4 linked regions of the Rhinolophus ferrumequinum genome follow. The protein of the gene in region 4 interacts with the protein of the main gene of each other region in a pairwise test. Links are inferred from orthologs where the notes say so. Each region holds a gene or a part of one and is shown on either strand. Other genes may lie near its edges. The genes, in order: CDR2, NUTM1, DBNL and SH2D4A.

The links.
Region 1: the proteins of SH2D4A (region 4) and CDR2 interact in binary tests that used the Homo sapiens proteins (3 or more experiments, as listed by UniProt). The two-hybrid records come from large-scale screens. The link is inferred for Rhinolophus ferrumequinum from reciprocal best matches to the Homo sapiens genes SH2D4A and CDR2.
Region 2: the proteins of SH2D4A (region 4) and NUTM1 interact in binary tests that used the Homo sapiens proteins (3 or more experiments, as listed by UniProt). The two-hybrid records come from large-scale screens. The link is inferred for Rhinolophus ferrumequinum from reciprocal best matches to the Homo sapiens genes SH2D4A and NUTM1.
Region 3: the proteins of SH2D4A (region 4) and DBNL interact in binary tests that used the Homo sapiens proteins (3 or more experiments, as listed by UniProt). The two-hybrid records come from large-scale screens. The link is inferred for Rhinolophus ferrumequinum from reciprocal best matches to the Homo sapiens genes SH2D4A and DBNL.

What each region holds. Positions count from the first base shown.
Region 1 is NW_022680357.1:16,828,308-16,836,178, reverse strand, and holds the start of CDR2 (cerebellar degeneration-related protein 2), read left to right. Parts: upstream 1-4,860; 5' UTR 4,861-5,163; coding exon 5,164-5,239; intron 5,240-6,956; exon of another isoform or gene 6,957-7,319; intron 7,320-7,447; exon of another isoform or gene 7,448-7,618; intron 7,619-7,871.
Region 2 is NC_046289.1:70,959,853-70,967,367, forward strand, and holds the start of NUTM1 (NUT family member 1), read left to right. Parts: upstream 1-4,510; 5' UTR 4,511-4,525; coding exon 4,526-4,541; intron 4,542-6,245; coding exon 6,246-6,951; intron 6,952-7,515. Other genes in the region: NOP10 (H/ACA ribonucleoprotein complex subunit 3), read right to left, coding at 2,157-2,297, 2,596-2,649. UniProt on the Homo sapiens protein: Plays a role in the regulation of proliferation. Regulates TERT expression by modulating SP1 binding to TERT promoter binding sites.
Region 3 is NC_046303.1:48,998-56,098, forward strand, and holds the start of DBNL (drebrin-like protein), read left to right. Parts: upstream 1-4,081; 5' UTR 4,082-4,151; coding exon 4,152-4,234; intron 4,235-7,101. UniProt on the Homo sapiens protein: Adapter protein that binds F-actin and DNM1, and thereby plays a role in receptor-mediated endocytosis.
Region 4 is NC_046287.1:57,283,440-57,290,476, reverse strand, and holds the start of SH2D4A (SH2 domain-containing protein 4A), read right to left. Parts: upstream 3,012-7,037; 5' UTR 2,879-3,011; intron 2,559-2,878; 5' UTR 2,489-2,558; intron 1-2,488. UniProt on the Homo sapiens protein: Inhibits estrogen-induced cell proliferation by competing with PLCG for binding to ESR1, blocking the effect of estrogen on PLCG and repressing estrogen-induced proliferation. May play a role in T-cell development and function.

The sequences.
Region 1 (7,871 bases), on a different chromosome or scaffold from region 4:
AACGACCCCTTGATGTTTACTGAGTGTGAAGCAACCAAAGGTCATCCGTGGGGGTAGAAAAGCTCATTGCGCTACGGACCAGCAGGGGGCGCACCTGCGGATACAGGAATAATAACTACAGCTGACACCACGGGAAAAGCCAGCGCGCTCAGTTTGTGTTTAGCATCCTGGCACCTGTGTTTGCATGAATTCTTTCACCACCTCCTTAAAACAATCCTAAGGAGCTGGCACTATCATTATCCCCACTCTACAAATGAGGAAGAGAGCCGGGGTGGGAGCCAAGGCGGATGGAAAGCACCCCGAGTTGGTGCTCTCAGGGGTTCCCCACCAGGCACACCGGGCCACGCCACAGCAGAGTGGTGGCCTGGGCACACACTACGGCACAAGGTTACGTAATTTCGTCAGGAAAGGTTAAAATATCAGTGTTTGCTACCCAAGGCCATGAACTGAGTGATAGTTTGTGAATACCACGGGATTTCCCGAGACACAGAATATCTTAATAATGAGGCTGCTTGTTCCACGTAAGTGAATTTCCCGAATCACCAAGCTTAGCCTTTAAACTCTAAAGCTTTTATGCGTTAAGTGGCAATCTCTTACAAATCTCCTTGCCCTCCCACAGAGGATCTTGGACGTGGCTAACCTTTTCTTAACACTTAATTCTTCAGCTGTGTGAAGAATCGGCTCTTGGGAAAATCACAACAATGCACAACTGTGAAAGAGAGAAACACTGTCTCAGGTGAAAGGACAGGTAAGGGCTCACCCCACTGGGCGTGGTGAAAAGCCACTTCTGAAATCTTGTACAGATGCAGAAAACGCTCCACGCAGTAGAAGCGGAAGACAGAATTTAGCATTTTAGTCCCTAATGTTATTGTAGAATATGCCCAAGAATGGGATTGGTACTTAAAAGTGGCATTTTCCATGCAGAGGAATTCTTCTTCCTTTTGTTTAAAAAAAAAAAAAAAAAGGAAAATGGTTAAAATTCACTGTTTCCATGCGATGGGTGGCAAAATTCCACTGGACACTAGTTAATTTTAGTTAAATGAGTCCAAATCTCCTCGCTGTGAATATGTAATGATTTAACACTTTACTTTCCTATCTACTCACTCAACACTTTTTGAGATGTTGCCGGGAACTCTAATTTCATAGAGTATGACCGTACGTGAATATATTTTTACTATTTCTTCTAACTTATAAACATGAGATTTATCCAAGAGTTTGGGCACGCTTAACTCGAGGCCAGGGAGATGCACTTATGGCATTATTACCCTCCCTACCTGGGAGAGTGCGCTAGAAAAAAGAACAATGAGGTGACATCCTTTAGCTAAAGCCAAAGAGAAGGAATTGAAGCAAACCCCTCCTGTTAGTATTATAGTATTACATACTTGCATTGGAAGAGTCAGTCTTTTTTTTCTCCTGACAGACTATGTAACTTTGGCCCAAGGGACATACCTAAAATGGACGTAGAAAAAACCCATTTTGATCCTCACTTGATGTAAACGTCCCTCTTAAATCTGGCCTACTGTCTTACCCTTTCAGTGACTTGATTTACCACAGTGGAAAACAGGAAAGGGTTAGCCAAGCTAGAGGTAGGTATAGATTCATCTTCCTTTTAATCTTGATGATAGTTTTAAGATAACGCCATGATTTTCCTGTTTTATCCGGCCGTACTGGAATATTCGGCCAGGTCTCCACAATCTCACTGAATCAGAAAACACAAATATTCAGCTACCTTGAGAGACGTAACTTGCCTAAATGATGCTTGAGAATTAAGCTGACACTGCCGTCTGTATTGCCCAATTTCTTAGGGAAGGAAGGGCACATGAGAGATCAAATTAAGTCCCTGAGCTTCATTTTGCATTGGGAGGATCCAAGAATGATTCCAATTCTATAGGAAGTGGGGCCCTAGAATTGTAAAAGGGGTTGCTAAACCCCTATGCAGACCAAGTATTGTCTGCAGACTGAACACAGAATGTTTTGCCCATGTGTACTTGGATTCTTATAATGTTTGCAGATACTGCTGTAATGAGGGAATACAAATCTGAATGTTTGTGGCTTTTTTTGTCATTATGCTCAAAGCACTTGAAAAATAGAAGTATTATCGTGTGGAAGGCAGCCAACAATTCTCAAATTTGAAAACGCGGGGAACTACTGGTGAAACCCTCACCCTCAAGAGTCATTTTTGGCATACGTGAGATGCAGATTGAGGCTAGAGGTCACTGGGTTACTAAGAGAGCTCAAAACAAGGGAGTCAGAAACACCAGAAGCCAAGATACACATTTAGCCCACCAAAATCTGGACACTTCTTTTCCTTTATTTCAGGCGTGTTAAAACAAGAAGCATGTGCCACGCCTTCTGAATTGCTCTACCATTAAGTCAGAAGGCAGCTATTTATAAAGTCAGAATTTTGCAAAAGGTCAGAAGTTTGCTGAGTTGAGAGCAAATTTTTCAAAAAGAATTTGAGTTAAGCAGGCATCCTGTCTGAAACATATGAATATAAGGTTTTTAAAACATTAAGAAAACATTTGTTTACATACCGGGGATGCCAAAAAAATGTATAAATGTGGACACTGGTCAACGTGGTTCAAGCAGTAGTTTGCTGTCATCAGAAGTGTCTGGACGCTGATGGGAACCACTTTGAGCACCTCTTGCAATTGCAGAAGTCAAACGTGACTTGTATTCTTTTGTTATCGGTATATATTATAATTTTAATAGTTTTCTTAAAATGTATATACATTTTTTTGGCATCCTCTGTATATTGAGAGGAGGAAGCGAACTTTTCCTTATTTCTATCTGCAAAAGAGCTCTCAGTATTTTGCTTTAGATTACTGTCATCATAGTAAATACTTATTTCAGTAAGTGTCACACTGAAAATCACCACTTAAAATTTCTTTAAAAGCCACCACTATTATCTAAAGTCTCTCCTTACACAATTTTAGTATAGCAACAAAACACCCAAGAACCAGAATATTACATCTTTACAACTCGGAACGAAGGACTTCTGGTTCCTTTTTACCACAAACTGTTTTATACAGAGGAGTTTAAAAGTACCCAAATGGTGTCACGATTAGGCTGAGCCAGTGAATTGTTAAACAAAAGCCCAAAGCCTCCTTTTAGAATCAACTTGGGTTGTTCTTCACTGGCCTACTACTAAACCAAATGCTATTAATGTTGCTAAAGAACCTGCTTTGATAACTTCCAAACTATGCCTACTTAGATTCTAAAAGAATGCCAGAGACTCCTCCAAGGTAAGGCTTTCAGCACTGAAAGCTAACATCTCTTTTTCGATGCAATTTTGTTTTTTTTCCAGGGGAAAAAACCTCAAGTTTCCCCAAATAGTGTCCTTAAAAAGAACCCACTTCAAATATATGGTGATGGAAGGAGAACTGACTGCGTGGTGAACACAAAATGGGATTTATAGATGATGTAATACAGAATTGTACACCTGAAATCTATGTAACTTTACTAACAATTGTCACCCCAATAAACTTTAATTAAAAAAAAAAAAAGAACCCACTAATACCGAAAGGCATAAAGCCTGGCTTTTTATTCTGTGCCCTTTTAAATTATCAATGACTTTAATTCTCCAGATCACTCTCTCTGAAGGAAAATATAAAAGAACGTTTCAGTACACTTTCCCATTTGATTTGGAGTCCAAATGAGCTATGTGCCATGGAGAAAAATGCCAGCATTTTCAATCTTGCGCATCAGTGACCAGGGAAGCCAAGTCTCCTGAAGGTCAAATGCATGACGCTCAACCTTTCAGCTTCCGCAAATCACCATCAGCAAATCCTAAATCCAATATCCTCGCTTTCCAAAAAGCTCTGTCTGTGGTGATTTACTTTGAAATTAAGACGGTTTGAAGTTATTTCCTTTTGACTCGGGACCGATACCTGTATCAGGATATGGACAAGCAGGCCATTGGGGCTTTACACTGAACCAAGCTATCTTCGTTTTTAGCCCAGCAATAAAACGTGGATGACTAACATTTTGCCTTTCAGTACACCAGCATTCAGCAGAAAAGAATTTGTGAGTTTACCATTCCTTTTTCTTTTTTATATTCCTCCCACATTTGTTGGCTGGCATTCTACTCTGAGAGAGAGGACTGCATTCGCTTCCCTCCAGGTACAAGGTCATGACCCTAGAGGCATAACTGGTGGTCCATGGACATTTCAAAACTCGCACGCAAAACTGCTCGCAATGTGTTTCTAAGGAGATAGCTTCAACTGCACCCCTTCCCGCTCGCAAGTTCCCCAGTGGGTCTGGAGCCCGCTGTTTTGGGGGAGTTGAGTGCAATTCCCTGCGGGTTGGAGGTGAGAAGGGCGCAGAGGTCAAGGAGAAAACGGCTGGCGGTCCCCACGGCCCGACCAACCCTTAATTTCCGCGCATCAACGAGAGGGCCCCGGGGGGTCCAAAGACCAGAAAGGGTCACAGGGCCGCGCGCCTCGGGCTCCCGGCACCCTTCGCGCCCCGGCCTGCACGAGGGACGCCCAGCGACACCAGCCCAGGCCCGCAGGCCGGACTCCCACCCTCACGCCCACACAACCTGACCACGGGCTGGCTGTCCCCGCGGCCACACACCCACCACAGGCGCCGCGGAGGCCGCCACCTCCACACCCCGGCACTGGAGCGCGCTCCCAGAAGCCACCCAACGCAGGAGAGGGCGGGGCCTCCGGCCGCACCCCTTCCCTTTTCCCCGCCTTCTTTGTTTCCTCCGGAGTGGCCATTGGCTGCTTGCCCACGAGACCGGGCGAACCGCGGGCCTGCGGGAAGACGCCATTGGGCGACGTCGCTGCTCCTCGGCCGGCGACCCGCTCGCGATTGGCGGAGGCGCCGCCCGGGGTTTGAATGCAGCCCCCGTCGGGGAGCTTGCTGCCAAAGTGCCACGTTGGGTGCCGCTGCTGCGCGAGGAGCCGGCTCCGGGCGCCGGCCGGGGTGCTCGCGCCGGGTTGCCGGCCATCGGGGCCGTTGGGCCTCAGGACGCGAGTCAGAAAGCCGGTCCGCGGCAGCGGCGGTGCTCGGGCGGCTCTGGACCGGCGGCGTGGCGGCGCGTCCCGCCCGAGGGCGGCTCTGGCTGAGGACGGAGGAACCGGCGGGGAGCCCGGGGCAGCGGCCGAGGCGGGACGGCGGCAGCGGGCGCCGCTGCCCCCGGGAGAGCCGGCCGAGATGCTGGCGGAAAGCGTGGTGGAGGAGTTCGAGGTGGAGGAAGAGCCGTGGTACGACAATCGGGACCTCCAGCAAGGTGAGAGCGCGGGCGGCCGGCGGGCGGCCAGGCCCCGGAGGCTTCCGGCGGCGAACCTCTTAAAAAGTTGCTTGTGCTCGTGGCCCACGGATGCCAGGTGCGGGCGAAGCGCGGCGTCCACCTGGCGTGGGGACCCGCCGCACCTGCGCGTCCCGCCCCGGAGGCGGGCTCGGCGCGGGCCGAGGCTGCTGCGCAGGTATCGGCAGCATCACGCGTGCGGAGGGCTAGCTCTGCGCCCGCACGGGCTGCAGGGAGTCCTCCCCGCATTGCTCCGCGGCGCGGGTGGGAGTTGCTGCAGGTGGCCGGGGGAGCAGAGCGCTCCGGCAGGACCCGTGCCCAGCCCTGGGCCCACCTGTGATCCGCACAATAGCTCTGCGCGAGGTAGCTTTTGTTAACCCCACTTTCCGGAGGAGGAAAACGGAGGCCAGAGCGGCCAAGTGACTTCCCTTGCGTTAGGAGTGGGAGCGTGTTTGAACCCACACACTCAGAAGGAGGAACCACAGCCGCTACCCAAACCCTGGCTTTTCGTTACCAGCCGCTTTACAGCTTCTTCAGTTGGGTGTTCGACTGTTGGGCGGAAAAATTGCTTCTGCATCCTTCACCTGAGGCCCTGAAATGACTGAAGGGCATTTCTACCTCGACCCCTTCCTTCCCTTAGAAACAGGCACTCCTATCTGAACCTGCCTTGGATTTCTTGCTGATTGATGGTGTCTCTAGAGAAAATCGTTGGACAGTCCTCACTTTGCAGCCTCCCTATAAGGCCCCCCTTTACTGCACATGAGTAGCAGGAGCTTGAAATTGGGGAGCGCTTTTTGGGGGCCACTGACAGGCCCTTTAACACAGCTGCTCATTTAATCTCAACAACTATGGAGGTAGAAAGGAAGATACTGTTATTGGAGCTAGGATCCCACTTCAAACTCCAGAGCAAACTTTCTTAACCACTATTCTGAAGAATCCTCAGGAATTTTTTTTTCAGGCATCTTCCGTTTCTGCAATTCTGTGTACATCGACGTTTTCAACTCTCCACTTGCAGTGACAATTAACATTTCATCTAGTTGAATATTAAATGACCATGATGTTTGTTCATGCTAACCATTGAACTGGGGGGGCGGGAAGGAATGTAAACTTGAATTACTCATATTTAGAAAAGGGAAATAAAACAAGTACATCTTTTGGGGGAAGGTGATTTCTTAAATCAACATGCTGTGTGGACAGTCACTTAAACCAAAGTAGTTCACCATTACGCTTGCTTAAATGGTGTAAGCTACTTAGCAGCTGCAGTGCAGTATTTGCCATCACATTTTCCATGTCCACAAGACACATTTGTCTTACATTTTAACAAGCCTGTTTTCAGTTTGATATTTTCTCTAGGATTAATGTGAGAACCACTGTACAACTGCAACATTTCCTTATAACAAATTAAGCAGTTCGTATGGTCATAGCTAAATATTTTTCTTTCCTGCATTTAAGAAACATAGATCTGTACAGGCTTGTTTTGTTTTTGAATCTGGTGGAATCCTTGGCACATAACAGAAGCTTGATTTTAATATTTGTTGACCTGAACTGAAGCACTCGCAGAGGGTTACTGTTTTCATTGCTCTCTTCTATCAGGTCCCTCAGTCCACAAGGCATTTGCCCTGTGGGAAGTTGTTAGGAAGATTCATTTGTAATGTTTCAATCTACTGAGAAGCAAATGCAACTTGTTGGGGTTACTAACCTCTGGGCAAAAGGAAGTCATCAGGTGTTCAACTTCAATGAGATCTTAACGAACACGGGTCCAAACCTCCTTAATGCCAGTTTGCGTTTGGAATTTGTTCTGTGTTTCTTCTCAAAGGACTTTTACGTCCGTATCACGATGGACTTTGACATAACTCTCTATGTCATAACCAAGTGTGTCGGGTAGGAATAGACTGGAAATTCCACACAAACAGTTTGCATTTGGAATTTGTTCTGTGCTTCTTCTCAAAGGACTTTTCCATCCATATCACGATGGACTTAGACATAACGCTCTATGTCATAACCAAGTGTGTTGGGTAGGAATAGACAGGAAATTCCAACAATCATAACTTGTGAATAAGGCCTGTAAAAGAAAGAAGGATACAGTGTGAATAAAAGGATGATCTTTGTCCCAATTTTGTTAAATTGTGTCTTAAAGAACTCCTAAACTTCTAACGGATTTTAAAATTTGTTAATTTCTCAAATACTTACCAACTCTATGCCAGGTACAGATCCAGGCCCTGGGGCCACAGTCCCTACCCACAGATAGGACAGGCAGGATCCCACAGCAAAGTGAAATGGAGGGTCTAGGAATCTGTTGACGAGAGAGGCCTAGAGACGCTGCCTCCTGGTCTGTGCCCACCTCTGCCTGGCACATGGTAGGCCCTCAATAGATATTTGTTGCTGAATAAAGTTTGGGAGCAGCAGGTCTGCCCTCTTAAATATTTCGATAAGCAAATTAGTGGGATTTTATCAAGTGCAGACAGACATCTGTTCATTTTTAACATCCTCACAGGCATATGCCTCATTTTAGTGCATTTGCTTTGTTCTATTGCGCCTTAGAGGTGGTGGGCTTATTTTTGGTGGTGGTTTTTTGTTTTTAAATGGAAGGCAAGACTCTCCACCAGCAAAAAGA
Region 2 (7,515 bases), on a different chromosome or scaffold from region 4:
TGAGGGATGTTTTTTTCCTCAGGCAGGCCTGTTCATTCAAATCTCAAAGACTTTCCCCTTACAAAGAAATGCTGGCTTTCTACAACCAATTTTGCTTCATACACAGAGTGTTTTCATTAACTTATATATACTACCTAATACCTAATAGTATAACTCTTAAGACTCCCATTTCTGAGCACGTCTCAAATGTTAATACCTAGGGTACCAAGGAAAAATCCTTGGTATATTCAAACCAGTTTGCCTTTCTTTTCAAATTCAATTCAGAATATTTCCATGTTAGTCTTCTCATTTCAGTCTACACAGAATGTAGCATGGAACAAAGCTAATCTTTCTTTGGGGAGGAGGAGTAAATTATAAGGACAGAATTACTGTCAACATTAAAAAATACTGGTAGCAGATTTGATTAATTGATTTTGGTGCTTAAGAAACTTCCAGAGCAGATCCTTTTTCTTTTTCTTCTGAATTTTTATGAGTTTGACTCAAAACTGACAACAATGCCAGGAAACATCTGCTCAGCAGCTGCTTTTTCTAGCCATTTGCAGAATTTTTAATATTTCTTCAATCATTATCCCCTTAATGGGGCAAGAAAAGTCTTTAAAATCCCTCAGATCCAATGCTAAGAACCTGTAAGTGACTAGGCTAAGAAATAAAAAATTATTGACAGGAAACAAATATTTTGTTTCACCATTCCCATATGTTTAAGTAAATAATTGACTTGAAAATCATGTCTTCTATTAACTGTGACCCAAGTTTAGATATTTTTTCTTTTTTTCTCAGCAGTCAACAACTATCCTGAACTTCTCTGCTGGGATGGTCAGACATCAGATTCCAAGAGAAACATATCTATCCCTTTGCAGGGCCAGTCTGGATAAATCAAATTTGTGCTGAGATAAGTTACATCTGCTTCTGGAGTCTAGAATCTTGATGCAGTAGAAAAAGAAGATTGTAAAATTAGAACACAATCTCCACAAAGCAATTCTTAAATCTGTGGCATTAAGCAAACATTCAAATCCAATGTCAAAAGCCATGAATGAGATGATTGGGGACATGAGCGGATTAACTTGACAAGGTGAGGTAAAAGCAAGCTAGCATTTCTTGAATGCCAGCCAGTATACAATATTTTGCCTCATCATCCCTCTAATATAAAGCAATTGAATTAAAAATTTATGGTTGCCCTTTGACAGAAGCTCAAATCCTTAAAAATCTCCCAGGTTTCTTTTGTTATTAACCACCAACGATAGCTTGAAAAACAAAATCTCCACTTCAATCTCTCATACCTCATCTTTTAAATTCAGATCCACGTAGAGTTCCACATAGCAGCTAGCTCCCAGAGAGAATATAAAGTTAGGTGTATGTAAGACAATTCCTTGATGGAGAGAATTAAAAGACTGCGACTATTTCCAGAGGAGCAGTAAATATGCACAGAGGCATTCATATTCATAATGGTGGAACAACACTGTGGATATATATCCGCCACTGAACCCAATCTGTTATAGAGTTGGAAGAGAACTTAGAAATGAAGAAAAAATTGGGACTAAATAGGTTAAGTGACTTTCTTAAAGTTATGCAGAGAGGAGCGCATCTTGGTCTCCTGACTTCCAATTCACTGCTTTCCCTCTACAATATGGTTGCTATTATTTTCAAGCAACTCTTCCATTTTAAGTCAAAATGTCACTTCAAGGGGAATGATAACAGGGGTATTTTTCTGTAAATGCTGACAATTATGTAAATCTTTCTCAACCTTTCTTTCCCTTCCCCAACACCCTCCTGTCACTAATACAGCACTACTCCTGCTACAGCAACGACTTAGGATTTTCTTCCAAGTATTGTTGTGCCCCTGGGTACACTTCCCTCCCATCTCTCTTCGTTTTTTGTTTTTTTAAACCACGTCCTTCTTCCCACAACATACAAAATAAGAGCTCTTTCAAATCATTTTAATAACCAGACAGTATGTCAAAACAGGAAAAGAAGATTCAAACTTGTTCCCTTTAAGGTGTATGCTACCATGATTGCCTCGCACAAACATGATCAAAGGTAATGTTGACACCAGATTCCAAAAAGAAAGGGTGGTAACAAGGCATCAAGGCTCACAGATTGCAGCGCTTGGGTTCGGAAAGTCTCAGAGGGGTAGCAGGCGGCATGAAATTAAGGGACCCTCAGAGGACAGGGCGCGGTTGCTGGGTCATCAGCACCTTGAAACGTTTCTTGATGGTGATTCGGTGTCGAGAGTATTTGTCGTCTGGGGAGAACCGAGCAGGATGGGCCGAGCAGGTCTGTTGTCCCGTGGGGTCAAACTTCTGCTCCAGGAAGAGAGAACATAATCTCAGTACAGGTGTGGTGAGAAAACTCAATCACTGGCGTCATAAAGGAGATGGAGGCTGGGATGGGGAGGGGGACGCGCGGAAAATGATCATAAGGAAGACAGAAGACGCGACGGTCAAAGTAGCACTCATACACTCCAGCTACTACCTTACCACGCCTGGCTTCTGGGCTTTCCAACTCCCCCCACTCAGCTAGGCAACTCCGCGGCTGGTCTCAACCGCTCCACCCACCTCCACTTTTCGCCATGCCTATTTACATGTTTCCTTTTCTTACCTTCAGGGTATAGACCCGCTCTCCCTGTTCATTGAGGTAATACTGGAGAAACATGACCACGATGAAGACAGAAGCTCGAATTCCGTCAGCAGCTCAGTCTAACAGTCTCTCGTGTTTGCCAACTTCCTTCCTGTGTAGCCGGAAGTGTCTCTCTCAAGGTATGCTGGGAAATGTAGTTCATTTTAGGCTTTTTTCCAGCTGGGCAGAAGGGGGCGCACTAGTGCAGGACTTGGCCCAGTTGCAATCCAGTTGCAACCTTGTAGACTTTGGTGCCCAGTTGCAACTTTGTAGGCCTTCTAAAACACATGGAGGGTGCCCACTGTGTGCCAGACACTGCTAGGCGTTAGAGGGGGATAGGGATGGATATGAGTTGAACATTAGTGAATAGAATCCTGTCTTTATCGCAAGATGCACACCCATATCAGGGGCAGTGGATTTATAGTGCGTTGAGAAACAAAGAGCTCCAGGATTCAGAGCCCCTTTACCTTATGGAAGAGGGAAGGTTTTTCTTCCCTCCCCTCTTTTTCTATCCGGTTCTCCGGCCCTATTTCAAAATATTGGCGGTAAAGAGTGCATGATGGGTATTTAATATTCTGCACAGCAAAGAGAGCGTGAAGTTGTTTTATGAAACTGGTGAAGTATGTTTTAGTGATCGAACCAAGATTCAAACTCAGGTCTCTCTACCACAAACTCAGCGCTTATAGTGGTGAGTAGCTAATAATAGCATAATAAGATGTACCTTCTAGGGGTTATTTCGAATGTTTTAAAGAACGTGTAGAAATTCTCCTTATAGGACTCTAGTTTAAAGAAATGAAAACTGGAGCCCAGGTAATATTACAAAGATGACCTTTGCAGTATTATTTATAATGTCAAAAACATTGGAATATACATTAATGTTATAACCAGGAAACCTGAAAAAAAAATTTTTTTAAAGAAACGTAAAACGTAATGATAATACGTGTTTACTTGCAGTGCATAAAATATCTCTGCAAGGATTCACAGGAACATAATATTGGTTTCTTTGGGAACAAAGAACTTGGTTCCAGGGGAAAAGAGTGGGAGAGGGAGACTCGCTGTACACTGTTTTGTATAGTTTTACTTTAGACCCATGCTAATGTAGTTCCCACTTTAAAAATTAAAATTATTTAATAAAATTTTTAAACAAAAATAATTTAACAAACAAAAGGACTTTTTGGCCTTGAAATTTTAGGTTGAATGCCTGTCTTTGATAGAATGGGGCTTTTCAACCAAGGGTTAAGGCTAAACCTTCTGTGGACTGCAGAGCTGATGGTGGACTATTTGGGAACTGCAGGACAGCTTTCCAAGGAAATGATATGCATACAGCAACCAAACACCCTGGGTCTTCCCAGACAATCCTAATTTCAAGCACTCCGTTCTCCAGATCCTTAAGTACACAGACTGTGTGTTCTGAATTTGGTTCAGAAAATACAGCGAACATTGAATTAAATCAAGGGTCTGCCACAACCTTCTATTAATAGGAAGTCAGTTACAGAACTGGGTGGGATTTAAGGGCACAAAACTAAATATACTGGTGAAGAATTGTGTAGGGAACGGAGATGTACTAATAAAACTATAATGTTGGGAATCTGAAAATTTACAAATTGCCCTAAAGAGGTAGACAACAATTGTGTTGCCAAACTCTGGTTTGGTGGGAATTCCTGGTTACTGCCAATTTACCAGAGCCTGCTGTCGAATATCTCCCTACCCCAGCCCCACATTCCCCTATCCCCTCCCCCACTGCAGACTTCCTTGAGTTCTAGATTCCAGTTCTGTTTTGATCTGATCTTTATCCTCTCCTCCTTGGATCCCTGTGTATCTACTGGAGCCAGGTTACTCTCTGGGTCCTCAACCTGACTGTCTCATTCTGGAGGCTTCCAGACAGCCACAGCTAGTGTCCAAACCTGAGAGGATGACTTCAGATGGAGGTAAGTCTGCAGGTGATGCAGAGGGTACCCCACCCCCTGCCACATCCTTGGGGATTCAAATTTGACACTTTACCTGGGGACAATAGGGGTCTTTGTACTGACCTAGAGGGACATGAGAATATAGATGCTACCAAAAAAACAATCACACTTGGAGAGGCTGGGAAATAAGTTTGTGCCATGAAGACTGGGGGTTGGGAAAAAAAAGACTGGGGGTTGGGGAAGTAAGAGGGCCCTCTGGGATGCAGATCTAAGTACCTCAGAGGAAAGTGCTGAGTATAGAGAAGGGATGGCAGTTAGCAACTTGCTTCTCTGGAAGAGGGACCCCGTTCAACATGTGTTTGTGTGGCAGGGGCAGTGGTATGTGTGGCACAGAGAGGGTTCAAGTGGAAGTCCCAGGATTCTGGGTCTTCTTTTGGTAATTGGAGCTTGTTCTAGAATTTTCCCCTGAGAGAATTGTGCTGGGGTCACTCTCGATGTATTGGGGGGTCAGGGTGGGGTGGAGGTCTTAGCTGGAGAAGCTGTTCAGTGGGGTTATCTGTTGCCAAGTCTGTGGAGAAATGCCTTCCTGATAGCTAGACTGGAAGGTACTATAAGTGCCTCTGCTCAGAGCCTCATGGCTCCTTCCAGCCCCAGAGGTGGCTTCTCTTTCAGTTCAGGGAGGAGTTCTCCTTGATTCCCCCAGAGCTAGAGGAGGTGGATCACTCCAGCCAGAATGAGAGCTGGGGCTTCCCTGAGAAGCTCTCAGTTTTTCTATTTTTTTGTGAGGCTCACACCTTCAGTCCTATTTCATTGCATCCGAACTTCATGGAATACTCCTGGCCCTCTGCTCTGTTGTCGAGATGACACATTTGCTCATATTCCGTGTCTCTTTCATGGTCAGGGAGCGGAAGCTGAGTGTTGTTAGTTTGCCAGGGGAATAGTCTTTATAAGAGGGGGAGGAGAGTAGCATGAAATTAGGCAGATGATCTATTATTATTATAAAAAGTCCTAGGAGACACATGTCCTGATTAAGTAACGTTTTATGTATTTATCCTCGGTCTCTGACAAGAGCCCACATAAGCTCCTTCTTAGCAGGTACTGTTTCAGACTTCATTGTCAGTGCCTTGTTCTTGGTGGATCCTATATTTCTGATAGGGAATCCAAGCTGGAGGACCACAGATAGTCTGCAATGCCAAATTTTAACGTGTCCACCAGCTACTTAAAGCTCTGGAAACCTCCCTCCCCACACAGCCCTCCCCTTGTCCATATCCTGGCCCTTATCTCTAGTCATTTTTAGCTATTATATAACAAAATTTCTGAGAACCAAACATCTGATCCACACACCCTCTCCTGGGAACAGCACTTCTGTGAGTGGTGGCAAGGACCACAGACCAGCTGGGAGCAGAGTTCAGGTGGTTTGAATGGGTTTGGAATTTGTATGACTATATATTCCAGATGTACCTGTATCCTCTGTGGGACGTGTTATGGAGTATGAGCTCATGGGTCCAAGAGTCACTGCTACTTCTCTAGTGCAATGATTTCCAACCGGGAGTAAGGAACATCAAAATCACTTGCAAACTACAGACGTTCCCCTCCATATATACCCTTCCTTACCTGTTGAGAATCAGAGCTCTGATTTTTCAGTAACTGAAGTGCAACTCTGATAATGTAGCTTCTGGTCTGCTTTTCTCCTACTGCACTCCCTCTTTTTCTTTGTCTCAACAGCATCTCCATTGCCTGGACCAGATATGACCATGATACCTGGCACCGCCCTATCTCCCTTCATGGCACTTCCCTTTCCCCCACCTGCTCCTGGCCCACCAGACCAACCACCCTGGGAGCTGCCTGCACAGCCCCCTATGCCTTCAGCTTTCCCTCCAGGCAACTCTTTGATGCTCTCCGCTTTCCCTAGCCCAATGTTGGTGACAGAGGATGGGGGCCCTGGCCACAGTGGGGCTGGAGCTGGCAAAGTCATTGTCAAAATCAAGACAGAAGGGGGGCCAGCTGAGGCCTCTCAAACTCAGAACTTGATCCTTACTCAGACTGCCCTCAGTTGGATTGCCTCAGGTGCTCCCTCTGGGGGCCTCGAAGGTCCTCCTCCTCAGTTTGTGACAACTTCTAACATGAAGACCTTTCTAGCTACTAAGGCTGTTGGAGTGAGCCAGGAGGGCCTCCTAGGCCTTCCTGCTCAGACTCCACCGTCAGCTTCCCAACTGGCTCTCCCTGTGTGCCCGGAAAACGCTTGGCCTGTGCCACATGGGGCAACTGGAGGAGGTCTGCCAGCCACCCAATCCCAGCCCTCACTGGGTGACCTCTCCTGTACCTCCAAGGGTGTTTATGAGAACTTCCGACGCTGGCAGTGCTACAAAGCCTTGGCCCGGATGCACTTATCCCAGAGTCCTGATGCAGAAGCTCTTTCCTGCTTTCTTATGTAAGTGGGGAGACCTGAGATTAATTATCCTAGGGCTTTTCAATAAGGAGGGCTTTGGGATGGACAGAAGAGGTTACGCTATAGGAATATTCAAGGGCAGGTCATGAGGGTGATGGAGAGATGCTCTGAGTACCAAAAGCATGATGATGATGATGATGACGATAAGCCTTTTCAGTTTTTAGCAAGCCTTCAGTTGTGTGCTCTCAAGTGATGCTCACAACCCTGTGAGTTCAGGCAAGCATTTAGTCCTCATTTATAGATGAGAAGACTGAAGCTCAGAGAGGTTTCCTACCATACAGTGAGGAGCAGTGGTTGGAACTTGGGTCTTTGACACTAAGTGCCAGGTCCTCTCATTCTATTTTAACACCTTCGGACATTGAGTTGAGCCATTCTAACGGGCCAGGATAAGGTGTGACTCATTCCTGTGGGAGAGGATGGTGCGGGACCAGACAAAGGACCTTCTGTGCGTCACCTCCTCCACCGCTCCCTATTTTATTCAGGAGAATTCAAATCAAAATGGGGAGGTGGTAAAGCTTGCTGAGGTGAAGGGCCTAGGCAGCACCA
Region 3 (7,101 bases), on a different chromosome or scaffold from region 4:
GAGTTTCCTGAGTCCAGTCAAAATTCCCCCATGCCTGCTCTCTGTTGGAGATGCATGGTAGAGAAAGTGAAATCAGTCCTTTGGGATTCCCCGCAGAAATTATCATTCACCCTTTGCAAGCCTGAGTGGTGATGTATACCTGCCAGACCCCTCAGATAGGCGTGCCCCAGCAGTCTGCTTGGACTCACCCCCTAGGAAACACATCTGCTTGTTACATTTTTCAGGGCTCAGGTCAGCCTGAAGAAAAGGTTTCTTAGGTTGAAAAGCTTATTTTAGGATGCACTCTGGTGTGGGCAGCTTCCCTATAACCCACATGAGCAGCTGTTACGTGTCCTAGGCAAGTCCCAGGTAGGCAGCTGGACAACAGATCCAAAAAGCCAGCTGTGGGGTGAGGTGGTTTTTTACTCTGTGGACCAGAGAAGGCAGGGAGACATAAGATCTTAAGCAATTGATCCACTGTGAACAAATGACTGTTAACTACACCCAGAAGCATCTGGGTTTTCTGCATAGCTCTGAGATCTTTATCCTTTGTCAGGCTCCCGGAAGAACCAGGAGTTCCAAGGATATGGCAAAGGGTCAAAATCTTACTAGAGATAAAATGCAAGAATGCAAACAGTCCAGGCCTAGCAGCTCACAGCTGAGCAGTATGTCAATGCTGAGAGAGCCCACAGCAGCTCACTCAGGTGCTCAGGGATGGGCATGTTTCTGTTTCTGACATTCAAGGTCTCTTTAAATGCCAGGGAGGTGCTGGTGGGACAGGTCTCCAGCACTCCTGGCCTGAGGTCTGTCCCTGGTATGCAAAGGGAGGCAGAGCAGAAGCCTCAAGGTCAACATGGGCCCCTAGTCTCTCCCACCCTGCCAGCCCCTCCCTCCTGCACCTCTTCTCACTGACCACACTCCTACCCTGGCAATGCTGGTAAGGGCTGGGCCTGGATTAGATCTAGTCCAGGAATGGAGGAATGGAGGACATGGCTGCCAGCACCCGTGAAGGTAGGAGCGCTCCCTTGCCTGCTGTCCTTTAGCAAGAGGAGGAAGGACTCGTCGTTCTCCGTCTTCAGTCTGTTGGTTTCATTGTTGCCACCACCCAGGTTTCTCCCATTGATAGATTTTATTAATAATAAAATCACAAAACCATAAAGAACCTGCAAAACCTATCAGACCAGATAGTGGATTCTTAATTTTCCTTAAAACGTCTCCTTCACCCCCCACCACGTCTCCCAGGACCCCACTCTCTACCCTCTGGGGGAAGTTGGCCATTTCTGCATTTAGTGTCAAAGGCACAGCAGTGCAGTCTTGGGAGTCACCCTGACCCAGAAGGGACTGACAGTCTGTCAACATCTTTGGGTTAAAATGTCAGCAAAGGTGCAGTGAACCTGTAGAATCATCTTGCCCATGACTCCGGCTCTTTGAACCTGTCCTGTCGGGGGTGCTGCAGGCCCCTGGCAGCAGGAAGCATGGCTGAGGCTTCAGGCAAGACCTGAGCAGACAGCCTCACGGCAAGAGCTGTGTGAGCAGCAAGAGTGCAGCTGAGCCTCTGTGAATTGTTAGGGTGGCAGGAACCAGCGCCCCTCCTCCTGGGAGCCACCTCAAACTGACTTCTGGCTGCCCCCCTCAGAGCCCAGCCCAAGGTCACTGCCTACTGGCAGGCCTACAACCCAGACCAGGGTCAGGGCTGTAGCCCTCTCACCTCCCTGCCATTGACTGACTGTTACTCTCTGTTCACATCATAACATGGACTCAACTATGTAAGTTTTTGTTTTTTTAACGTCTCAAGATACGAAGTATTTGTTTACTGCACACTACTTACCATGCAGCATAAACAAGATTTTAGGGCAGGAAAAACAGTAATTCCATTTCTCTAACTGTCTCTTAACTGTGGCCATGTGAGGCTGGAGCAGAGAGATGTAATCCTGGTGGTTTTAAGAAAATGATTTTTCTGCTAATTGACACTTCTGTTGATGAGGATTTTGAATAGCTATCATTTTTTACTGATTGCTATGGTCTGAATGACTGTGACCCACCCCAAAATTTCCTATATTTCAATCTTACCCCCAAGGTGATAATATTAGGAGGTGGGGCCTTCGGGAAGTGACTAGCTTATAAAGGTGGTGCCTCATGAATGGCATTTGTACACTTTTAAGAGAGACCCCAGAGAGCTCCTTTGCCCCTTCCACCACGTAAGGACACAGCAAAAAGATGGCCATCTATAAACTAAGAAGAAGGCCCTCACCAGACACAGAATCTACTGGTGCCATGATGGACTTCCAGCCTCCAGGACTGTGAGAAATTCCTGTTGTTTATAAGCCGCCCGCTCTAGTATTTGGTGATAACAGCCCGAACAGACTGAAGTACTGGTCTTGCTGTTCTTGTCAGACAGTTCTTTTTCTTAATGCCATTGGTTCCCTCTATCCTGTGGGCTCCAGAGGGAGCCTATCAGCAAGATCTTCCCTCCACACTTGGACCCAGGTGTATTTAGGACACGGTCAAGTACCCTCAAAATGTGGAGGACACACATTCAGGGCTCTGGTTTTTTGCCCTGAATCTGCCATCTAATCTACAAGGAGAGCATCAGGAAGTAAAGCAGATCTGAGTTTATCCACATGCAAGTAAAGAGGCTGTGTGAATGGCAGAGAAGTTAGGGAGAAGAGAGAGGAGTCCCAGGAATGACCTCTGGAGACATCTCTATCAAACTGAGGAACAGCCGAGCAAAAAGAGAAGGACGCTGAAAGGAGACAAAGTCAAAAGCAGGAGTGGGAGGGAGGGAGGGGGCGTAGAGATGGTCCACACGTGGCAGTCAGAGGGCTCTTTCCAATCACGTGCTCTCTAAAGCTCCCCAGAGATTCTGCTACACCTAGAATAAAACCCAAAGCCCTTCCCCACCCACAGGGTCCTACAGGATCTAGCCTCCGCCCCGGCTCCTTCCCTCTCCTCCTCGTGCTCCCACCTCAGAGCCCCAACACATCTCGTTCCCTCTGCCTGGAGCACTTCTGCCCAAGCTTCCTCAGCTGCCCCCAGCCCCACATTCACTCTCTGCTCCAGTGTGACCCTCCTCAGAAAGGCCTTCCCTAGCCTGTCAGGCCGACAGACTCGCGGGCTAGAACAGGAAGCGGAATCCTGGCGTCCCCAACTCCCCACCAGGGACCATCCTCACAGCCTTGTCAGCGGAGCCTGGGTCTGCCTGCGGCTCCCTCAGCAGTGTGCACGGACCTGGTCACCACTGACCTCGTCTGCTTCCAGCACAGAGATCGGACTGTGGCCCGCACAGCCTGATTCAGGCAAGATGGGCTCTCCCCAAGTTGACTGAATGTTGAAAAGTCCTCCTAGACTTCTTAAGGGTCCAGGGACCCCAGGCTCGCGACTGGCAGCCAAGTGGACAGAGGAAACTGGTCACTAGCTGTTTAAATAGGCACATTCCCAGAGACAGAAGAGCACTGGAAGAGGAGCCAAGGAGAAGGCAGAACAGTGAGGCTGGCTGAGGGCTGCAGCCAAGTCCTCCACGCCTCAGAGGACCAGCAATCAGAAGACGGAGGGCGGCGCGAACGGGGTTCTGTAGTTTAGGGAGGTGTGAGTTCCCCAGGGCAGGAAAGGGAGTTGTGAGCGGCCTGGCCCCTGGCCCCCATTTTCCCTCGGGGAGGTCACGGCCGCAGGGACATCTGTGCACAAAGGAACTGGCCTCCTTCCGGGCAGGACCTGCCAAGAACCAGCGGGGAAGGCCGGTGAGGGCGAGGAAGCACAACAGCCTCTTGAGTTCGGTTTGTGGCGGTGTGGTCGTCACTTAGCCTTCGTTCCCATCCATGTCCTCGTTAACTTGTGCTTGCTTCCTTCATAGCTCCGACTTCCTGGAAGAGTCCGGGTGGAGGGAGGCTCTCATGCATCCAAGTTCTCAATAAGCGCATTCGCTGTGAGGAGACTTAGAAGACGACAGGCACAGCGCTCCGCGCAGCAGCCAACGGGCTGGGCCCGCGAGGGCCCTGCGCACACGGCGAGCGCCCGCCGCCTCCTCGCAGCCCTCAACGCGGCCCTGGCGCTCCGCTCACCGCGGCGCCCTCTCGCAGTGCTTCCGCTTCCGGCGTCGGGGCGGGGCTTCCGGCCGTCGGGGGCGGGGTGGGCCCGGAAGCGGCGGCGGCGGCGCGGGGACCGAGGAGCTGGCCATGGCTGCGAACCTGAGCCGGAACGGGCCGGCACTGCAGGAGGCCTACGTGCGGGTGGTCACCGAGAAGTCCCCGACCAACTGGTGGGCGCCGAGGCGGGCCGGGGCCGTGGGCGGGCCGGACCGGGGGGAGCCTGGGGGCGCGGCTGTGCCCCACGCCTGGTGGTTCGGAGCCGCACTCCGGAGGTGCTGTCCCCCACCCTTGTCACCCCGTCCCCCGCCGTGCGTGAGTCCCCGGGCCCTCCCCGTCCCTCCGGCCGCCGGCCTCGGCCTGTTGGACTCCGTGCCGGGCTGCGCTTGGTGGCTTCGCCAGCTTCTCCTTTTCTGCCCGGGGACTTCACAGCCCTCCCTGAGAAAGAGGAAGCCACGCCCGGCTCCTTGCCAACGCTGTGTTCAGGGATGGCCTCTGAGAGCGGTGTGGCAGCCCGGCTGGCACTGGGAGGCTTGCCCCGGAGGCGTTACACAGGGAGCTCGGGGGGTTGGGTCCCTGGTTCTCTGTGAATGCGGATTTCAGAACCTCCCTTTCTCCAACAATGCTCCTCCCTGTGCCTCAGCCATGAGGAGATGAATGAAACAACGATGATGGCCACCCTCTTTCTTCCACCTCCCTATACCGTCCTCTGCTAAGCTGGCAACATTCAGGTCTCCTCCTGGGGTTCATGGGGTTTGGTAATACTGGAAGCCCGGATCTGCAAGCTCTGCGATGGCCCTGGACAGCCACGCAGAGGGTCAGCTCTCTTCTGCACGCGGTGGTAGCTGTGGATGGTAATTCTCTGTCACCGTCCCGTTTGCTTCGTTTTCACTTCCAGTTCTAAGAAATGCTGAGTTTGGTGGACTAAGATGACCAGCTTTTGGGAGCAGGGCCCACTGGGTGGGGCTGCTACTGGGACTGGTCTCTACTTGTCAATGCTGCTGCTTTCCCATCTCTGCCTTCCCTGGTGCCCAGCGCGGACTGGCTTTCACACAGTGTACTACTGGCCACTGAGCATGTCATAGCCTTTCCTGTCCGTCAGCCCCAGGCCTTTTGGGGAGGAGCTGCCTGGGGCGAAGTGGAGGTGGGCGCCCTGTGTGGGACGTGTGCACAGTTTTCCAGGGGAGACAAGCAGCACGGTTTCTGTTTGGAAAGCATCTCTTCTAAATAGGGAAAGGTGTCTAGTAACTAGTACTGTTTCTTTGCCTTCTCTTCTTCATAATCCTATAGGAAGTTCGCCCACCTGTCTAGGTACGGTTATTTCCGTAAGGAGACTTGGGGGATGTCAGCCCCCTACCTCTCTGTCTCCTGTCCTCAGAGGACCTTTGCTGGTGTTCCAAACCCTGGGGAAAGTGCCTCCACCTGAGTGCCCAGTTCTCACACCCACATGAGGCCACCTGCTTTGGAACCCAGAAGCGTGTTTGCCCCTCTGCAGTCCAGCCCAGTTAGGGTTCTGCTCCTTTACGTGTAATCCTTTCTGACTTACCTAGAAGACTCCTGGGCGTACTAATGGGCCTTCCTTCCATGTCTCTCTGTCCTCAGTCTTCTCAGGCCTCCCTTGGGCTTCTAACCAGAGCTGCCTGCTACCCCCGAGGTCTGCAGCTGATCTGCCCCATCCCCTCTCTGCCACTCAGGGTGCCGAGCCTCCTCACCTACCCCCAGGCTCCCATGGCACTTGGGGGCTGAACCACTGAGCAGCTTGAAGTCCTGGCCTCTGTCTTCATTGTCAACAGATATGGTGTGGCAGGTCCCCACTCATTAGCTGAAAAACATCTAGACCACGTCACTTCCCTGATTATAACTGCAGGGGCTTTGGCTGTACCTTACATAAAGCCCCGACGCCTCGCCCCGGCTGACACCCTGCACACCAGCTCCTGACCTCCACTCCTGCCGCCCTGCCGCTCACCACACTGACCACACCTGCTTACCACCACTGGCCTCCTCCCCTTCCTCACCTTGCAAGCCGGTTTCTCCTCAGAGCCCTTGTGCGTGGCTGCTTCCTCTGCCTGGAGCGCCCTTCCACCTCATCCCACGGGGCTCCCCAAACCTCAGTTCTCAGCCCCGTGGCTGCCCTCTTGGAGGGCCCTTCCTCAATTCCCGGCTCCCTGTTTGGCTTCTGCCAGACAGCCTCACCTGTCGCCTTTCTGCCTTTACCAGAAGGGGTGGGGTGGGCACTGTCCCTAGTGCAGGACTGTAATGTGTGGTGGGAGCTCAGGTGAAGGCCGGACTCGGCGCAAAAGGAGATAGAGGATATTGGAGCAGGGGTCTGCGGTGCGGGAGGCCGTGGAAGACTTCACATGCAGAGTGGGTGGCATCAGGCTGGGCTCGAAGGCCGGTGGGGTGGGCAGCCGCCACCACGTCCGCTCTGCGTCCTGCTCTTTCTCTTAGTTCTCCCAGTTCTCCCTCCCCACGTGGTAGTAGCAGCACATGTGTCTTCTTCCTGCTCCTGCTCCAGCACCTGACAGCACGTTCGTGTTGACGTGTGTGCTGCTTTGTCTTGCGATAGGAAGTAAGTCCCATTGGCAGGGTTTCTTGGGGATTATTCGTAGCTGCAGCCCCACTGCCACGTGTTTTGGGAAGGAATGACCAAGTTATAAGGTGCTCAGCACCCATGCTCGTGCCCTGCACAGGCCAGCGCTCCATTTCTTTCCATGTTGATGTGAAAGAAGAGCGGAACTGGATTGAAAGTGGAAATGAGCCTCTGAACTGGAACATCTGAGAAAGTGGCTGAGACGACCCAGGGAGAAGGGGCAGGAAGTCAGATGGTTAGGTGGCAGGCATGGAGCATGGCTCTGACTAGCTGCGGGGTCCCTTTGTGGTGGAAGAGCTGGGCCGAGTGGCCATCTCGATCCCCTGCTGCTTGTCTGGGAGGATGACGGGCCAGGACACCCACCACCAGAGTGCATGCTGACAGGCTAGACCCACTTTTCCCTTTGACTTGCTGTGCGGTGGTCAGCCCACATTGCCTGGAGCTGAGCTG
Region 4 (7,037 bases):
AATGCTTAACTGAAGGTGCATGACACAGTATGCCTCTCTGGCAGAAGCCTCATCCCGGTAATTGTAGATTAAGTTTAGGGGAGTCCAGGTGTTGAAAAGACCCCATATGGGAAGGACAGCAAGGAACTGACTGTCCTACTGGCCCAGGTGTGGATGTTGTTTGCTCACTTTTTTCTCCATTTCCCCATTCACATAACCACTAGGAGTAGCACAAATGCCACAAGTGTGAAGAGTTCCACAGCACCTCTGTGATGCTCAAGAGTTTTCATGGTTTTAATGTTTTATTTGCCTTTTGTAGCAAACATGGATTTTTAGCATTAAAGTTAACTAGCGAATCTTGAGGGAAAGACACTGGCTTCCCTGTGTCCTAGAATACTTGGGGACTCAGCTGACAACTGTGGTGGTCAGGCTGCTGAATAATATGCATGCATTCTAAGCCTGTTGACTCCTACTGGTGTGAATGAACTCTTTCCTCCTCTACGCTATGAGATGGAAAACTCAAACACAGCACAGGGAGCTCACAGGACAACCAGCAAGGGACCCCAGCCCGGACTCCCAGCTTTGTTCTCATGAGCTGTGTGACTTTTGGCTGTTACTTCACTTTTCTGAACTCAGTTTCCTCATCTGTGAAATGAGGGCCTGCATTGTGAATCTTTATAATTTGAGGACTATGCCAGATAATCTATGTGAAGTTACGGAGACAACTGAAGCCAGGGTAGAGGAAATAGAAATGAGAAAATCAATCATTGTTTTTCTCACTTTCACTCCCTGACAGGACAATCATTGCTGATACTGATTCAAATTCTAATGACTTTCCACTAACATATTGAGTACAGCAAACTTCCAGTTATTCAAGATCCAATAAAAGGAAAAAGCTCAGCTAACTGGTTTTCTTCTACAGCACTTTTCTTAAGAGAGAAATGACAAGCCACAAGCCCACATCTGCTATTTATTCCAAAAATAAATTTCTAAAGGGTCGTAGGATCAGCTGTTTTCCAGGATAACACAGATTTGGCCTGACTCACACCGTTCACAGTCCTGTTTTACAAAACAAAAATTGTGTTTTTAGTGACTGAGATAAAATAATAATAATAATAATAAAATAAAAATAAAAACCCAACCTGAGGTACAGCCTAAATCATAAAAAGATTGTAATCTGGACAGTATAACTTTAATGTTTAAAATATAGTTTGAATTTTAATTATTTTAGTACTGTCAGCTCTGTTTTCAGATTTTCAGTTATCTTTCTCAATTTTACCTTATTAATCTTGTCAGCAAAGGGGCCATTTTTGAGGATAAAGTGAATTACCAGAGGTGAGAACAATTTGGTAAGTTTTGTAAATATGTACCATTCTTCAGAAAGTTGAATTACTGTACACACGGATTTATCTAGAAAATTCCACTCACATGCCAAATCTATGCCCACATATGCTTCCACTTATTCATTCACTTCAAAAATATTGTATCTGAGTCGTTTCTATTAAACAGGCAATCAAATAAAAGCCTTTTAGGAGGTGAGGAGACTAAGTTTAGAGAAAGGTGCCGTGCTTGCTTCTTCCCTGTGACTCTTGGGTAAGGAAAGACAACTCTGAGAATACTGAAAAATTCTGTAATTTGTCCCGTCGTCTCCACGCCCAGCCCTTTGGGGCGCCAGCGGGAAAACGGAGGGCAGGCGCCGGCCGGGGTGCCCCCTTGAGAAGGTAGGTCATCGGTACCGAGCTGACTGGGGGTCACCCTCTGAGTCTGAAGCAGGGCTCCCCCTCGGCTTCCCAACCCCGCCGGGCACCCTCGGTGCTGGCGCGCTGAAGCCGTTTCCCCGGACTCTCCTGGAAGGTCTGGGGCGAAGGAGGCCCCAGGGCGCTACCCAGAAGTGCGCGTATGCTCGTCAGCAGGGCAGTCGCCGCCGCGCCACGGCTTGGGGCGCCGTCGCGGGGCCGCGCGAGGCCAGGGCAGCTGGGGGAGACGCGGGGCGCCGGGGGTTATTCGACAAGAGTCCAGAAAGTGTAGACCGGCCCAGACCCTCCCACGCGGCCACCACCCGGCCGCCCCGGCTCCCTCCGGGGCGGAACCTCGCCTGACCTGCGCGCACACGCCCCTCGGGGACCTGGAGCCCCGCCCGCAGCCCCAGAACTGACCCTAGGCCTCTCGTGTACCTGCGGCCGTCCCCCTCGGAGCTCCCTCTTACCGTCACGGTAAGCCCCCGGCCCTCCCGTGCCATCGATCACTTGCCGGCGGCTCCAGACACCGGACACCAGACACCGGACACCGGCCGCCCAGCCTCGCACCTGAGCCTGCTCGGGGCGCGGCCGAGGGGTCGGGGGAGGGGCGCGGGCCGTGGGGACCCAGGCCTCGCCGCCCGCCTCCCCCAGCCCCGCATCCTCCACTCTACCCCTCGGGGACCCCCGCCTCCCCCGCCCCCCCCCCCAAAAAAAAGGAAATCTTCTCCGGGCCTCCCCTTCCCGGCCTCCCTCTCCACCCTGGCACATACCTGTGAAGGGCCCTGGGCTCGCCTGCCAAGGCGACCCGCGCACCCGCCACGTCCAGTTGGGCCGCCCAAGCTGTCGGGGAAGGGAAGGAGGAACGGGGAGAGGCGCCCGTGAGCCGCACAGGCTGGCTGGACAAACACTCCGGTGAAATGTTGGCAAACAGCGTCCCTCAGCCCCGGCCCGCCCGCTCCGCCCCACCCGCGGCCCACATGCCGGGGTGACTGACTGGGTGCTCGCGGCCCCACCCGAGCCCCTGGACACGCTCCAGGGCCGGGCGGCGGCGGGGCCCGGCGGCCTGCTGCATCCCAGGCCTGCTGTCCTGGAACCACCCTGGCATAAGGGGCGGTGGTCGCAGGCCAGCCTTCCCCACCCCTCCCAAAATAAACAACCACCTGCAGTCTGCGATGGCTCGTCCTGCCATCTCGGGTCCTGTGGCACTTATTAATATCAGCGGCCCTACCCCATCTCCACCGCAGAGCTCAAGGTTTCTTGCAAGGTGGAGCCTGCGGAGGCGGGCAGGCCCTTCTCAGTTACACTGAGTCCCGCGGGCCAACTCTGCTCACCTCTCAGGTTCTGCTCCTTCGTCTCTTGGAGCTTACTTTTTTTTTTCTTTTTCTTTTGTTGCCATTAAGTGAATGATCAAACTCTCAGGCACAGGTACTTACCAGTACCGGTGTGGCTTTGTAGGACGGGATCAAGGAGGAGAAAGGCTGGAAAGATGGAGACTGAAAACAAAAGCGTCAGGGAAAGAAAATCAAAGAAATCTGGAGGAAGGGTTAAGAAGGTCAAGAATCTTGTAAATTGCAGCAAGAACAGGTTGGGGTGGTGCATGAAGGAAGAAGTTGACTGAAGATAGGAAAAGGAAGTCTTGGAAAAGTGGAGAAGAAGCAGAGTAGAGACACTGAAGGGCGTGTCGCATTGAAGAGGAACATTCAGAATGTGTGGAGAGAAACAGCTTGATTTGGAGAAAAACAACTTGATTTGGTGAATCCCAGATCGCCCGGGTTGAGAAGAGATGTAATGAACATTGAGCATTCAGTCCTCCTCTCCATAGCCTCCCTATAAATTCAGGAGCCTGACTTGCTCTGTTCAAAAATGAAATGTTCTCATTCCTAGCCTCTCCAAACTTCAGAAGACACTCAAGTTGGGCTGCCCAAGCTGTTAGAAAGAGCCTTGGGGGCAAAGCTCAATCGTAGAAATCTAGCTGTTTAGGAACCAATCTAGGGATCCTATCGGGAGAATTTCTGGTTTTGGTTTGGTTCCCACTGCTTGTCAAATGGATCACCTGTGGGGTGTTTTTTTGGCTGGAGTGTCATCTGCCCCTGGTTAGCCAGCTGAAAATGAATTCTAACACTTCGTGGAGTGAACAGTTGAAAAACTATAAAGCGTGGTTCATCAGCCAGTAAAAATTCCAAAGGACGCTGATAACAGCCAGTGTCCTTTCTCCACACTCAGTCTTTTTCCATGTCCTGACAAGTCCCTATAACAGCTACTAGTCTCTCTGTTCTTTGGTTTCCCCCTCTGGATAATAGCAGTGCCTACTTCATTAATTTGTTGTGAGGGTTAAATGAGATAATACATGTGAAATGCTCATAACAGTTCCTGGAGGCAATAAGTGTTAAAACATATTAGCTTATATTATTTCACATCAGATACTGTAATTTCAAGTTATCACTTTATACTTATGTTATGGATTTTGCCTCTTCTGTTACCTAAGCTCCAAGTCAGCCTCAGTGATCCTCACCCCCCAGTACAGCAGTCCCCCCTTATCTGAGGGGGATACATTCCAACACCAATGCAGTAGGTAGGCAGTGCATGGTAGTTGAATGGCTGTTAACAGCCCAAATGAATTCAGACTGTACACGCATAGTACAATCGTTCACTCGACTTGGAGCCCAGTATCTCTTTCCTTTCCTCTCATGTTTCCTTCCCATCCTTCTTTCCACTATCTGTAAATATCTCCCTTCTTTTCCTCTTGTTTCTGTAATTCTTTCTGCATCCTCTTCACTTGTCTCCCCTCTCCACTACCACCTTCCCTTTTTGTTCCCTTTTTCATCTCCTGGCATTTCCTCTTTCAATTGGCATAATCTGAAACAGAAAATGTATTTTTTCCTTAATTTCAAAAGTAGACATTAAAATGTTTTGTGTTGCTTTAAAAATCATCAAGCGGCTCTGTTACTCCTTATGAGGCCCTGATAGCTTTCACTCCTTTTGGCCCAGTGCTCTCAGTAGATAACCTTTCCCCACTCCGTGGTCTAGGATGCATTGTGAGGAGGATTGCTGCCTTCACATAGTGGCAACAACACGCCTGATAGAATGTGAGGTCGGGGCAACCAAGCCTTGGTAGGGACAGGTGCTGAGTATCTACTGCTGGCTGGCCACTGGCCATGTATGATGCGTGTCATGTATGATGGGTGTCACCAGTACATGTGTTCATGGGGTGTCCGAATACCCATCCAGAGCCAGCATTGCAAGAGAAAGGCTAAATCTCTATATACTATATGCTACATACTAATTTTTTTAAGTTGTCATTTTACTTTTTATAAGGTTGATTTGTATTCAGGTCCTACAGAAAATGAAAGTTACCTTCGGATTTTTTTCTTATAAAAGAAAATAGGATAAACACAAATAATATTTTTCTTGCCATATTTTATCTTCAGCATCAGAAACCCCAACCACATTTTTTTAATTCTTAAAGAGTTATGTTATATATTTGTTCCACAGTGAATATGAAGTAGATGTGAAAGAAAAAGACTAAACATTTCAACTTTATTAAAAATTGATCAAATTTCAAAATAAATCTGTCAAGTCATCATTCATAAAAAAACATTTACTGAAAGTCTTCGATGTTTTCACTTTTGTGCCAGCAGTTAGAATTGATTTTGAGCTATTTTCATTTCTTTGTGACTCCCTACAGGCTTTTATTTTTTTCATCTTCACAAATATCAAGATAAATTATTGGTCTTTACATTCATCTTTGAATTAATTAGATTACTCTAATCCGTGATGTTTTCCCTTGAATTACTTTTATGGAATTGTTTCCTCAAAATCCATGGTCTGAGTTGCTGAGAAGACGTCGCTCGTATTTTTGTGTTTCTGGAATGCAGTGTTAAAGCAGCCTATAGCCCATAGGAACTGCTGACCCGCGGCTTGTGGATAGAATTGGGCAACCCCTACCTTAAGTGACATGGGACATCTGTGAAGAGCCTGTGGTAGCCAATACTTTTTTACCCATCAAAGCTCTGAGAAAGGAACAGAAGCAAGCTCTTTCTAGTATTCTGGCATTCCTTGGATATTCCCAGGGGCAGCTTTGAGTAGGCCTCCTAACGCTAATAAAACCAAAATCTCATCTCTTCCTTGTTACCAGATTCAGAATCAGGTTTTGATTTCCTAACTTCTCTCTTACGTGCAATCTTTGCAAAAAGTACACAAATTTATTTTAGTTTTGTAAGTGTTTACCGCCAGTGAGCACAGAAGTAGTTCTCAAGTGCGTATTAAAATAATCTAGGAAGATTTAATGTTTGTCCCTTTGCCCCTTTCCCCAAGAGGTTCTTATTTGATTGGAATAGGATGGAGCACAGACACCAACATTTTTTCAAAGCATCCTAGGAGGTTCTAATGTATGGCCAAGGTTGGGAACCACTAAGTGTGTGGAAACAAAGTTAATTGGTTATGGGAAATTTTGAAGGCATAGTAATAGCAGCCCCTAGACGTTACTAAAATAAACATGAAACTAGATGTTCATCTTCTTGGTTCTGGTCTTGAAGTAACTCCCATAACCTTGTCCAGGAATAGATGTTCCACCAAACCCAGACTATCATTTAATCGGGTGGGAATTAAATGTAATGCATGAGATGACAGTGTTTGGCTCACTATGGCTGCCCAATATATCTAAGATTTGCTACTTTCCTTCCTTTTACTTTTTTTTTTTATTTATTTTTTTATTTTTTTTTATTATTTTTTTTTAATTTATTTTTAATTTATTGGAGTGACAATTGTTAGTAGAATTACATAGATTTCAGTTGTGCAATTCTGTATCACATCATCCATAAATCACACTGTGTGTTCACCACCCAGAGTCAGCTCCCCTTCCATCACCATACATTTGATCCCCCTCACCCTCATCCCCCACCCCCCAACCCCCTTACGCTCTGGTAACCACCAAATTACGTTCCCCCCTTCCTTTTACTTTTAAAGTTTTACTTTTAAAGTTTACCTGAAAACTTTCTTTTTTTTAAATTAAAGTTTATTGGGGTGACAATTGTTGGTAAAGTTACATAGATTTCAGGTGTACAATTCTGTATTACATCATCTATAAATCCCATGTGTGCTGAAAACTTTCATAACTGAGTTATGAAACTCAGATGTTCCCTCTGGCCTTCTAGTTGAAGAGGGCACTTCCCTCTGTGGCCCAAAGATTCCCTGCCCACACCACATGGCTTCAGGTGTTCTTTGTCACTTCCTTGTCTTTCCTGGAGGTGGCTTTACTTCCGCCCCCTAGAACTCCTCCCCTCCCCACTGAACCATTTCCTTCAGTTATAGTCTTTGCTT